Linked DNA regions of Drosophila melanogaster. The protein of the gene in region 1 purifies or fractionates together with the protein of each later gene. This does not show direct contact. Each region holds a gene or a part of one and is shown on either strand. Other genes may lie near its edges.

Region 1 (6,634 bases):
TTGGTCTCCCGGGTTTTCGATGTCGTATATCAATCCGCACGTGTCGCTGCTCCAAGTGCTTCTGTGCGAAGTACGGCGGACTCAAGGCGGGAATATTGAAATCCGGCCAATCGCGCTGCTGACCCTTGGCCAAAAGGGATCACATCGCTGAATATTCAGTTGGTAGGCTCATACTTTGTAAGCGTAGAGTGCGATACCCTGTAGATAGTGGGGAAGCAACACATCGCATCATATTCACATAGAAACCGCAGGTATGACCAATCTTAGTCCTAGAATACTATTTTATACTACATATTTCTATATTTTTATTGCTTTACTCTTAATTTGTGATGTTTTTAATGAGACCTACTAATTATTCGAACATTTGGGCATACGAATATCGAAAAAAAACACTAACTACATATGTATTTATGTATGTATTACATATGTATGTATATTTAAACCGCTCAAGGTGCTACGAAATCCGTTGTGAACAAAAAACAAAGGAGAACGTCTAGAACGCAAGAAGAAGAAGATGAACGAGATCAACAAAAACGGAACCGTTGAAACTCAAGAATCAAAGGAGAAAGCACAGAAAGATAACTTTTACCGTAGCATCCGAGCGCCAAATCAAGCAGAGCCCATAATTATACTGGCAGAAATGATATCGAAGTCGAACTAATATATAAGCAATATAATAAAAATGTATTTAAATAATATAATATCTATGTATATTTGTACGTGTAAGTCTATAAAGTAAGTCTATAAATCCCAATTCGCACCACTTTCTTTCCGGTGCACTGCATTGCCCGTGCGAGTCAGAGAAAGATGGAAAGATGGGTGCTCCTCCTCTTTGGCCGCATGAATGGAAAATGTTTGGGAAAAACCGGATAAACGGCGCTTGCAGCCGCTGCTTTTGGCCAAACTGGCGGATGAAACTATGCCAGCGATTTGTGTTAGCGTGTTTGCCTTATTATCTCGACTTTTATTTGGATCTTGGCCATTTAAAACGGCACTTTAATCGCATCATTAGCCCGCATGCGTGCGTGCGTGCGAGCGAGACAGCCGCTTGTCGTCGCAGCCTTAGTTCGTCGACCTCGTGCCCTCTTCCTCTTCACCCTTTTCCGAAGCAACCGTTGCAGTAACGGTTGTTAGACAATACACATGTAGCAAATTGTTCGCTTGTTGTTGTTTCATTTCATCAGTTTTTCAGTTGCATTTTCACATTTTAATTAACATTTTCAGGCGTAAACTTATCAATCGATACGCATGCAATTAGAAAAGTGTACAAATAAAAAAAAAATACATATGTATGTATGCTTGTATGCTTGAATGTGTGTGAATATCGCACGCGAAACTGCAGCCAAGTGTGAGTGTGTGTGGGTTATTATTTTGCCGGCCGGCAAAAATGTGGAAGAGAGACAGACAAAAAGATGAGAGAGGAGAGGGCGAGGTTAGCAGCAGAGAGCGAGGAGAGCGGGAGAAAGAGAAGACAGATTTGATTTTCCTTTTTGTTTTCATATTTTTGTTTCACTTTGTTTATAATTACATCATAATTAAAAAATAATACATAAGGTTGCTGACGAATTGTACAAAACGCTAGTGTGTTGTTTGTGTTTTGCAATGTGTGTGTGTTCTTTTTGCGCTTTGGGAAATATCTTCTTTAAGTTCTTCTTTATCTTGATGTCCTTGTCATGCCGCGAATGTGTGTGTGTAAGCTTGTGGGTGTGCGTGTGTTGGGTGTTGTTGGTGTGTGTGTGGAATGGCAGAATATGCATTTTCGCTCATTTTCATTTTTTGTAGTTCTTGTTATATTAAAGGTTTACAAATAAAAAAAAAACAAAAAATACATAGTATATCATATCATATCTCATGTGGAATAAATTAATTATATTAATACGCTGGAACCACACAACATGCGCCCAAAACGATGATGATAATGATGATGGTGTGCAGGTGGTTCCGCTCTTTTCATCTTGTAGTTGGTGTTGTTGTTGATTTTGTTGTGCTGCACTCCAAACTTCCACCACTCGCACTTGCACTTTCGCTGCTGCTTCCTCGACTTCTCCTCCTCCTCCTCCAGCAGAATCAAGACCATCCCGATCCTGATCCTCTTGCCCAGACAAGCGATCCTTCTTAGAAGCACTTGCGGTGCACAATGGAGGGGCCGGACTCGTCGTACTCCTGCTTGGAGATCCACATCTGCTGGAAGGTGGACAGCGAAGCCAGGATGGAGCCACCGATCCAGACAGAGTACTTGCGCTCTGGCGGGGCAATGATCTTGATCTTCATGGTCGACGGTGCCAGGGCGGTGATCTCCTTCTGCATACGGTCGGCGATGCCAGGGTACATGGTGGTGCCACCGGACAGCACGGTGTTGGCATACAGATCCTTACGGATATCCACATCACACTTCATGATGGAGTTGTAGGTGGTCTCGTGGATGCCGCAAGCCTCCATTCCCAAGAACGAGGGCTGGAACAGGGCCTCGGGGCAGCGGAAACGCTCGTTGCCGATGGTGATCACCTGTCCGTCGGGCAGCTCGTAGGACTTCTCCAACGAGGAGCTGCTGGCAGCGGTGGCCATCTCCTGCTCAAAGTCGAGGGCAACATAGCACAGCTTCTCCTTGATGTCACGGACGATTTCACGCTCAGCGGTGGTGGTGAAAGAGTAACCGCGCTCGGTCAGGATCTTCATCAGGTAGTCGGTCAAATCGCGACCAGCCAGATCCAGACGCAGGATGGCATGGGGAAGGGCATAACCCTCGTAGATGGGCACGGTGTGGGAGACACCATCGCCGGAGTCCAGAACGATACCGGTGGTACGACCGGAGGCGTACAGCGAGAGCACAGCCTGGATGGCCACATACATGGCGGGTGTGTTGAAGGTCTCGAACATGATCTGGGTCATCTTCTCACGGTTGGCCTTGGGGTTCAGCGGGGCCTCGGTCAGCAGCACGGGGTGCTCCTCGGGTGCCACACGCAGCTCATTGTAGAAGGTGTGGTGCCAGATCTTCTCCATATCGTCCCAGTTGGTCACGATACCGTGCTCAATGGGGTACTTCAGGGTGAGGATACCACGCTTGCTCTGCGCCTCATCACCCACGTACGAGTCCTTCTGGCCCATGCCGACCATCACACCCTGGTGACGGGGACGTCCCACAATCGATGGGAAGACGGCGCGGGGAGCATCGTCTCCGGCAAATCCGGCCTTGCACATGCCAGAGCCGTTGTCGACAACCAGAGCAGCAACTTCTTCGTCACACATTTTGTAAGCTGCAATGGAAAGAATGCGGATTTCCCATTAGTTTTTGGTTACCTTATTTGGTAATGTAGAAATGGCAAAAAAAAAACTGAGAATTTGCGTGGTTTCCTTGGACTGCGCTGGTCTACCAAAGTACAATTGTCATAACAAACTAACTTGTTTTTCGTGTACAATTAAAAATCACTCAATGCAATGTACGTTTTTTTAGTACAAAATTTTAATCTTGGACAAAAAAAATTTCATAAAAAAATACTTTTCCGATTGAAAACTGATTTTCACTTGCGATCGAATTGTAATAAGAAATTAAAAGAACAGTTACAAAATAGAAGGCCCCGCCCCGAAAAATTAAAACCACAATACGAATATGCCGAAAAGGGAGGGGAGAAGCTTCTAGACGACACTTAACGAATGCCGGTGCAAAAGAAAGCCGCAAAGAGAGCACAGTTGCCTGTGTGTATGCGCCCTTAAAATGGCGGCTGCCTAAAACTCGAATTGGAACCCGAAATTAACATTACAAAATAAAAAAAAAAAAAAACACTAAACGCACTCTAGAAAATTTAACAATTAAGAGCCACGAAACTTTTCAAAGCTAGTTAAACTTTACCTTTTTGTTCGATTTAACAAATTCAAGGCGTGAAAACTACTGTAAACGCAAGTGGCGAGGCTGAGCTAAGCGACCGCACGGTTTGAAAGGAATGACTGGAATAAACCGACTGAAAGTGGCTGGTGAATGTTGAATGCCAGTTAACTGCGTTTTTCAATCGCTGCCTGCGTCGACGTCGCCATAGGCGTCGCTCGCTCTCGCCATCTCGCTCGCTCCGCGCCATGGTCGCTATGGGTGCGAAGGAGAGCGCTGGTGTGTTGAATTGCGGCGGCCAAGTTTTGTGACCATATATGGTCATGTTTCGAGGCGAAAAGCAAACCGTCGTCTGGCTTTCGCTCTCTCACACACACATACACTCTCTCTCGTTATTTTGCGCGTGAGTGTGTGTATATGAACGAATGCTCGAAGGTTTTCTCCATTTTTGCAACTACAACTTTGAAAAACCGGCAAAAATTTCTGCTTCAGCCAAAACGGCTGCCTACGTCACTATTTTCAAGAACCTGATCTAGTTTTACAGATTATAATATGCATATACTGTATGTATGTACATTTATGGATGATCTGGTGTTTTAGGGCGTGGGAAAAAAAGAAAGTGTTGGCGAATTGATTTGCAATTCGTAATTTGGCATATCTTTGGGTGAAATCGTGACACGCCCACATCAGCGAGCTTGGCTTTAAACACTATATTAGATCCTAACATTTGAGTTGGGGCTATTGAATTGCTTTGGTTTTTATAATTTCGTATAATTTGTATGTATATATCCTGAAATCTGCAGTTGTAATCCTGATTCTTGAGTTATGGTATTTGAAACCCTGGTTTTGTTAATTTTGATGTCTTTCGACCTATTGGTATTTTGATTGACAATTTAGGGCCAAACTTGGGTATTTTTGGAGTTTTGGTCAATACAATAACTCTTTAGCTCGTGGCTAGTATTTTTTGATCACTTTCAGCACTGGCACATAAAAAAATGTTTTGTTTACAAAAAAAATCACACATTTTCCGCGGCTTTTCTCGATTATTGCTTTTTCTTGGTGGGAGTGGTTCGATGGTGTTTTGTTGTTGGGAAGGGGAAAGCTACTTACATTTGGTGTGTTTTATTAAAATTAATTAAATAAATATAAATTAAGTCTTTCGGTTTGGTGTCTCTGGATTAGACGACTGCTGGCTGATGGAGCGGCTTTGTGTCGGGAGGAGTATCCACACAGCACAAGAACTCAAACGGTAGTGATATGAAAACTGGTCCCGCAGCCCGTTTTATAAAGCCCGCTTAGCGCTAAAACCTTATCAGCCGCAATGCTCTCCGCTCTCAAGTCGCGTTCAAAACTTTTACCATATATGGGTATGAATTGTTCGCCGATTGGGTTTTCATTTACGGAGAATTTCCTCCGCAACTGGGTGTTCGTGCTTGTGTGTGTCTTGTATATCGCCATGAAGAGTGTACTTCCATGGGTCCTATCAGTTGCGGCATGTGATTCAATTTGGGGGTTACTCATATTCGATACTTCAGCTGGTTATCTTTATGCTGTGATGGTCACGGTGCTTTTACACATTTTTTCCCCAACTACTCATTGTATGCCAAAACATACATATGTACATGTGTTTATAGTGGGTTTATTAGTAATGTCCAGCGATATTAAAACATTACAGTTAAATAATATTCATATTAGCTTACGTTTACTGCTATCTGCACTTCAAATTGGTTATTCCAGGGACATTTTGTGCAACACACATCTTCTAGTAGGGCATTCACTAGTCGTAGAAAACACACCTAACTTAAGCCGGTTTTAACAATAACGGCGAAACAGCTGCCAGACGAGAGAAAAGTACACAGCAAGAAGCATTTCTATAATGATGCCGTCCTAAATATGCAGCATTTTTGCTCAAATTGATCATTTCGTTGCATCGCTCAGGTGGTATAGTATTTGGCTATTGAATGTGATTGCTATCTTAATAGTTTTGAATAGTAATAGTGCAAATATTCATTCATAAAAAATAGGTAATCGATTTTTTCAGTGCAGTCTATGCGTTTGCGCAACAGAGACGAAGAGAGAGACGCCTCACACACAAGCACATGCGGTCTAAGCTGCTCTCCCTCTTTTTCTCTCTCTCTCTGGCTTGCGGCAGTTTTCCAGAGGCTGTGACTCAGTAAGCATTTCTTGTTGTTACCCTAACGATAAGCGTCCGATTCCTAATTCTCTTTCAAATAATTTGTTTTATTTTTTTTTTTGTGTGTTTTGAAGTCAAACAGCTTCATAAACAATATTAAATATCGCAATTGTTATTGCAAATGCATTCGTATCAGGCGCCTTGATGTTTTTCGCCAAAACTTCGTCTGCTCTTTGTCAGCGTAATTGCGTTTGCCGGTCGTGCCGTCTTGCTCGCACGCGGCTTGCAAACAAAAAGTGAAAGAGGGAAAGCCACCTGTGTTGTTGCTTTTGTTGCTATCGTTGGCTGCACACACATGGCAATAAGTAACCATATTGTAGACTTATTTATTTTAGCGTTTTCGTTGACTAATCTTTGTTTAAATAATTGCCTATTTCGAGCCAAAATGACGCATAAAAGGAAACGGCAACATGCGGTGCGTTGAGCATGCGTAAGCGAGATGGCGCTAGAGAGAGCGCAGCATAAAAAGAAAAAAACAACCGGCGAGTGGCGAGACACGAATAATACACACACGCACACATGGTCAAAGGAGTGGCTCCAACGTCGGTGACGTCGCGCCCAGCCACAGACCCCGCCACGCCCCGCCCCACCCTTCCTTCCGCTGCCCCGCACCCCTTTCC
Region 2 (4,689 bases), on another chromosome or scaffold:
ACTCCCCCGATTTGCTGTCACATTTCATAACAAATTCAAAATGGGACGACACCTGTCGAACCAACACGCCCAAATCAAACATTTTCCAGTGACACCTGTGGACCTTCCGACGTTTTAAAGGAGCGTAGTCAAAGTGCTGGCCCCAAAACAAAGCTATCTCTTAAAAGCTTGGGCTTAGAACAGGAAAAGCTTACTTAACCGTTGGGCAGTGGCTTTCTTCAAATGCGCAATGTAATCTAAGCTTTAGGAGCTATAAACAAATATTTGTTGTCGTGATGTCTAAGCTATCTTCAAATATAATTATGTAATTAATCCAGCAAAACAAATGAAAGCACATTTTGTATTAGAAATGAAAAAATTCAAAGATTTTTAAAACTAGTTAGGTCGACTCTTAATATTTCGATGTTTAAGATTCGCAATATGACAAATCTTTTCAAACACTCCATTCAGTTGTTTTGTTTATTTGTTTATTCTTTACTTCAACAATAATCTTCTATTTGTTCTTATCAATATATCACATGCACAAGTGAAAGATTTAGCCTTATCGTGGCGCTGTACTATTTTTATAAATGTTTATTCACTATCACTACCTTAATAAGCCTCCATCAGTAATTTTCAATAAACCAAGTGGCGGACAAACAAACAAGCACTGCCAATTTATACCCAACAAAATGCGTTGCATTCAAATATCACACCGCACACGGATTGTTTATTTTGCTACTATATGAACGGGAATTGTAAGCAACGTCGATTTACGAATGCAATCACTCTACTATAAATATTTGCATAAATATGGATGGGATAGAACACTATTTTCCAATTCACACTCACAGTTTATATCAAATGCCAGGCAACTGCACACGACGCCGTTAATATTTGAACTGAATAGAATTTCTAGCCCGACTGGCCTTTATAAAAGACTTCCGAGCGGCAACAACAACTGACACAAAATAAACGCAGCAAACGAAGCTACAAAAGTTTCCGAGCTGATAATCTTCGTACACTATCATCCAGAGAGGTCAACTTGGGTGAAAGTATACGTATGGGTCTTTCATTTCGTAAGATTTGGTAAATATTGTCTGAGACTGCTTGTCACAACATTAGAACGAAGCGAATCAATAAAACGCGCGCTCCGAATTTTGAAGCTTCGGAGTTTTAGGAGTCAGGAGATTAAAAGAAGCAGCAAAATCCAGTTTTCGGCTAGACTACAAGACATAATTACTTTAAGTATAAAGAACTAACCTTGATAATCAAATTTACCTATACCTAAGCTTAAAAAAGGCAAACATTGTATTCGAAAATATTAGATGATTGTAACAAAGCAAACAATTCGCTTCACTGTGAAGAATAAATCAAATGCTAATCCAAAACATAATGTATCAAATTACAATATTTGTAAAGCTCTCCTTTAGTACACTAAATTCTTCTACCAGGTGGATCCAATCCAAAAGCAAACTGCAAACAAATAACACCTTTCGTGACGAGCTATTTGTTTTCCCGTGCCTTGAATAATTATTGATCAAGGTTAATTTAAATATAGCATGATGGATATCTTGGTATTAGATTGTGAAAGTTAATGTCGTTTTCGTCATTCCATCTTTGGCGACAATGTATTTAATTTTATTTACGTTTTAAAGACTATTTTCAACTAATTGTAGGAACTGCAGTCCAGACAATATAAGAGTAAAATCTTGTTGATATTAAAAAAAAATCAAGCCCTAAGAAAATTTCGCACTGCAATTATAGGTGTTCAATTATACAATATTTTGTTCACAATTTATTGTCAATTTTTTTTCAAATCACGTCACAGTTTCCTGTTGAAGTTTTTTTTGTTAAACACAGTATGGTTTAAGCCCAATTTGGAAGTAATTATATTACAGTCGAGACTTTAATACAAATGACGCTATATTCGCTGAAACAAACAAATTAGTAAGTGCGTGATTAAATTATTTGTTTAGTACTTCCAGATGAGAGAGGCGTAGTTCAACGGGGGCTTTGAGGTGTGTCATTTGCCCAAAACAATTGATATTCCGATCAGGCGTAGAGCCCACTTATGGACACTCCCCCGATTTGCTGTCACATTTCATAACAAATTCAAAATGGGACGACACCTGTCGAACCAACACGCCCAAATCAAACATTTTCCAGTGACACCTGTGGACCTTCCGACGTTTTAAAGGAGCGTAGTCAAAGTGCTGGCCCCAAAACAAAGCTATCTCTTAAAAGCTTGGGCTTAGAACAGGAAAAGCTTACTTAACCGTTGGGCAGTGGCTTTCTTCAAATGCGCAATGTAATCTAAGCTTTAGGAGCTATAAACAAATATTTGTTGTCGTGATGTCTAAGCTATCTTCAAATATAATTATGTAATTAATCCAGCAAAACAAATGAAAGCACATTTTGTATTAGAAATGAAAAAATTCAAAGATTTTTAAAACTAGTTAGGTCGACTCTTAATATTTCGATGTTTAAGATTCGCAATATGACAAATCTTTTCAAACACTCCATTCAGTTGTTTTGTTTATTTGTTTATTCTTTACTTCAACAATAATCTTCTATTTGTTCTTATCAATATATCACATGCACAAGTGAAAGATTTAGCCTTATCGTGGCGCTGTACTATTTTTATAAATGTTTATTCACTATCACTACCTTAATAAGCCTCCATCAGTAATTTTCAATAAACCAAGTGGCGGACAAACAAACAAGCACTGCCAATTTATACCCAACAAAATGCGTTGCATTCAAATATCACACCGCACACGGATTGTTTATTTTGCTACTATATGAACGGGAATTGTAAGCAACGTCGATTTACGAATGCAATCACTCTACTATAAATATTTGCATAAATATGGATGGGATAGAACACTATTTTCCAATTCACACTCACAGTTTATATCAAATGCCAGGCAACTGCACACGACGCCGTTAATATTTGAACTGAATAGAATTTCTAGCCCGACTGGCCTTTATAAAAGACTTCCGAGCGGCAACAACAACTGACACAAAATAAACGCAGCAAACGAAGCTACAAAAGTTTCCGAGCTGATAATCTTCGTACACTATCATCCAGAGAGGTCAACTTGGGTGAAAGTATACGTATGGGTCTTTCATTTCGTAAGATTTGGTAAATATTGTCTGAGACTGCTTGTCACAACATTAGAACGAAGCGAATCAATAAAACGCGCGCTCCGAATTTTGAAGCTTCGGAGTTTTAGGAGTCAGGAGATTAAAAGAAGCAGCAAAATCCAGTTTTCGGCTAGACTACAAGACATAATTACTTTAAGTATAAAGAACTAACCTTGATAATCAAATTTACCTATACCTAAGCTTAAAAAAGGCAAACATTGTATTCGAAAATATTAGATGATTGTAACAAAGCAAACAATTCGCTTCACTGTGAAGAATAAATCAAATGCTAATCCAAAACATAATGTATCAAATTACAATATTTGTAAAGCTCTCCTTTAGTACACTAAATTCTTCTACCAGGTGGATCCAATCCAAAAGCAAACTGCAAACAAATAACACCTTTCGTGACGAGCTATTTGTTTTCCCGTGCCTTGAATAATTATTGATCAAGGTTAATTTAAATATAGCATGATGGATATCTTGGTATTAGATTGTGAAAGTTAATGTCGTTTTCGTCATTCCATCTTTGGCGACAATGTATTTAATTTTATTTACGTTTTAAAGACTATTTTCAACTAATTGTAGGAACTGCAGTCCAGACAATATAAGAGTAAAATCTTGTTGATATTAAAAAAAAATCAAGCCCTAAGAAAATTTCGCACTGCAATTATAGGTGTTCAATTATACAATATTTTGTTCACAATTTATTGTCAATTTTTTTTCAAATCACGTCACAGTTTCCTGTTGAAGTTTTTTTTGTTAAACACAGTATGGTTTAAGCCCAATTTGGAAGTAATTATATTACAGTCGAGACTTTAATACAAATGACGCTATATTCGCTGAAACAAACAAATTAGTAAGTGCGTGATTAAATTATTTGTTTAGTACTTCCAGATGAGAGATTCAAGACACGATGTTAGTAATTAAAAGAGACTTTGGATGAAATTCCTTAAGTACCAAAAATTAGTAGGCTTGCCACGTGCCATATGTTCCCACAAAAATATGAATTGAATTTTAAATATCTATAGGTACTAGAAGTATTGTGGAAAAGAATAATTGGTTTCATTCATGCACGTTTAAAGACTGATTCAATTGTAAACCTTTTTATAAAATGAATTAAAATATAAATGATTATCCAAGGTAAAACAGAATATTAGTTTTTCAGTTACATTTTATTTATATTCGTTTGGCTTAGCTTTATTTCTTTAGGAAACTAATTGTTTTCCTACTTTGACTGGCCGCATAAATTATACCATATGCTGCACATTGTCATTTATGTCCTCAAACTTGAAATTTGGCATGGGGGCCCAACGAATCCGCTCCTGAGTAAACAAAAGGCTGCTCGCGAGGTGAAAACAAACCACAACAATGATCCCCCAGAGAGCGCCGAAAACGAAAATAATTGGAGAGGGAGAGCGTGTTATCCAATTTTTCGGGGGAACTACTTGTGTGTTCAGCAAGCATATGAGCGGCCAGATCCGCAGTGTGGCAAACCCGCTCAGTATCGTTTCAGCCATAAAGGTAGTTGGTCGGAAAGAGCAGATAAAACTCGATCAA

What was found. Proteins that work in one complex are often made in the same cells at the same time.
Region 2: the proteins of Act5C (region 1) and glob1 purify together in Drosophila melanogaster (affinity purification with western blotting; one study listed by BioGRID). This does not show direct contact.

What each region holds. Positions count from the first base shown.
Region 1 is NC_004354.4:5,899,310-5,905,943, reverse strand, and holds Act5C (actin 5C), read right to left. Parts: upstream 5,084-6,634; 5' UTR 4,931-5,083; intron 3,963-4,930; exon of another isoform or gene 3,848-3,962; intron 3,255-3,847; 5' UTR 3,247-3,254; coding exon 2,116-3,246; 3' UTR 545-2,115; downstream 1-544. UniProt on the Drosophila melanogaster protein: Actins are highly conserved proteins that are involved in various types of cell motility and are ubiquitously expressed in all eukaryotic cells.
Region 2 is NT_033777.3:15,901,612-15,906,300, forward strand, and holds the start of glob1 (globin 1), read right to left. Parts: upstream 3,033-4,689; 5' UTR 2,891-3,032; intron 974-2,890; exon of another isoform or gene 832-973; intron 773-831; exon of another isoform or gene 591-772; intron 1-590.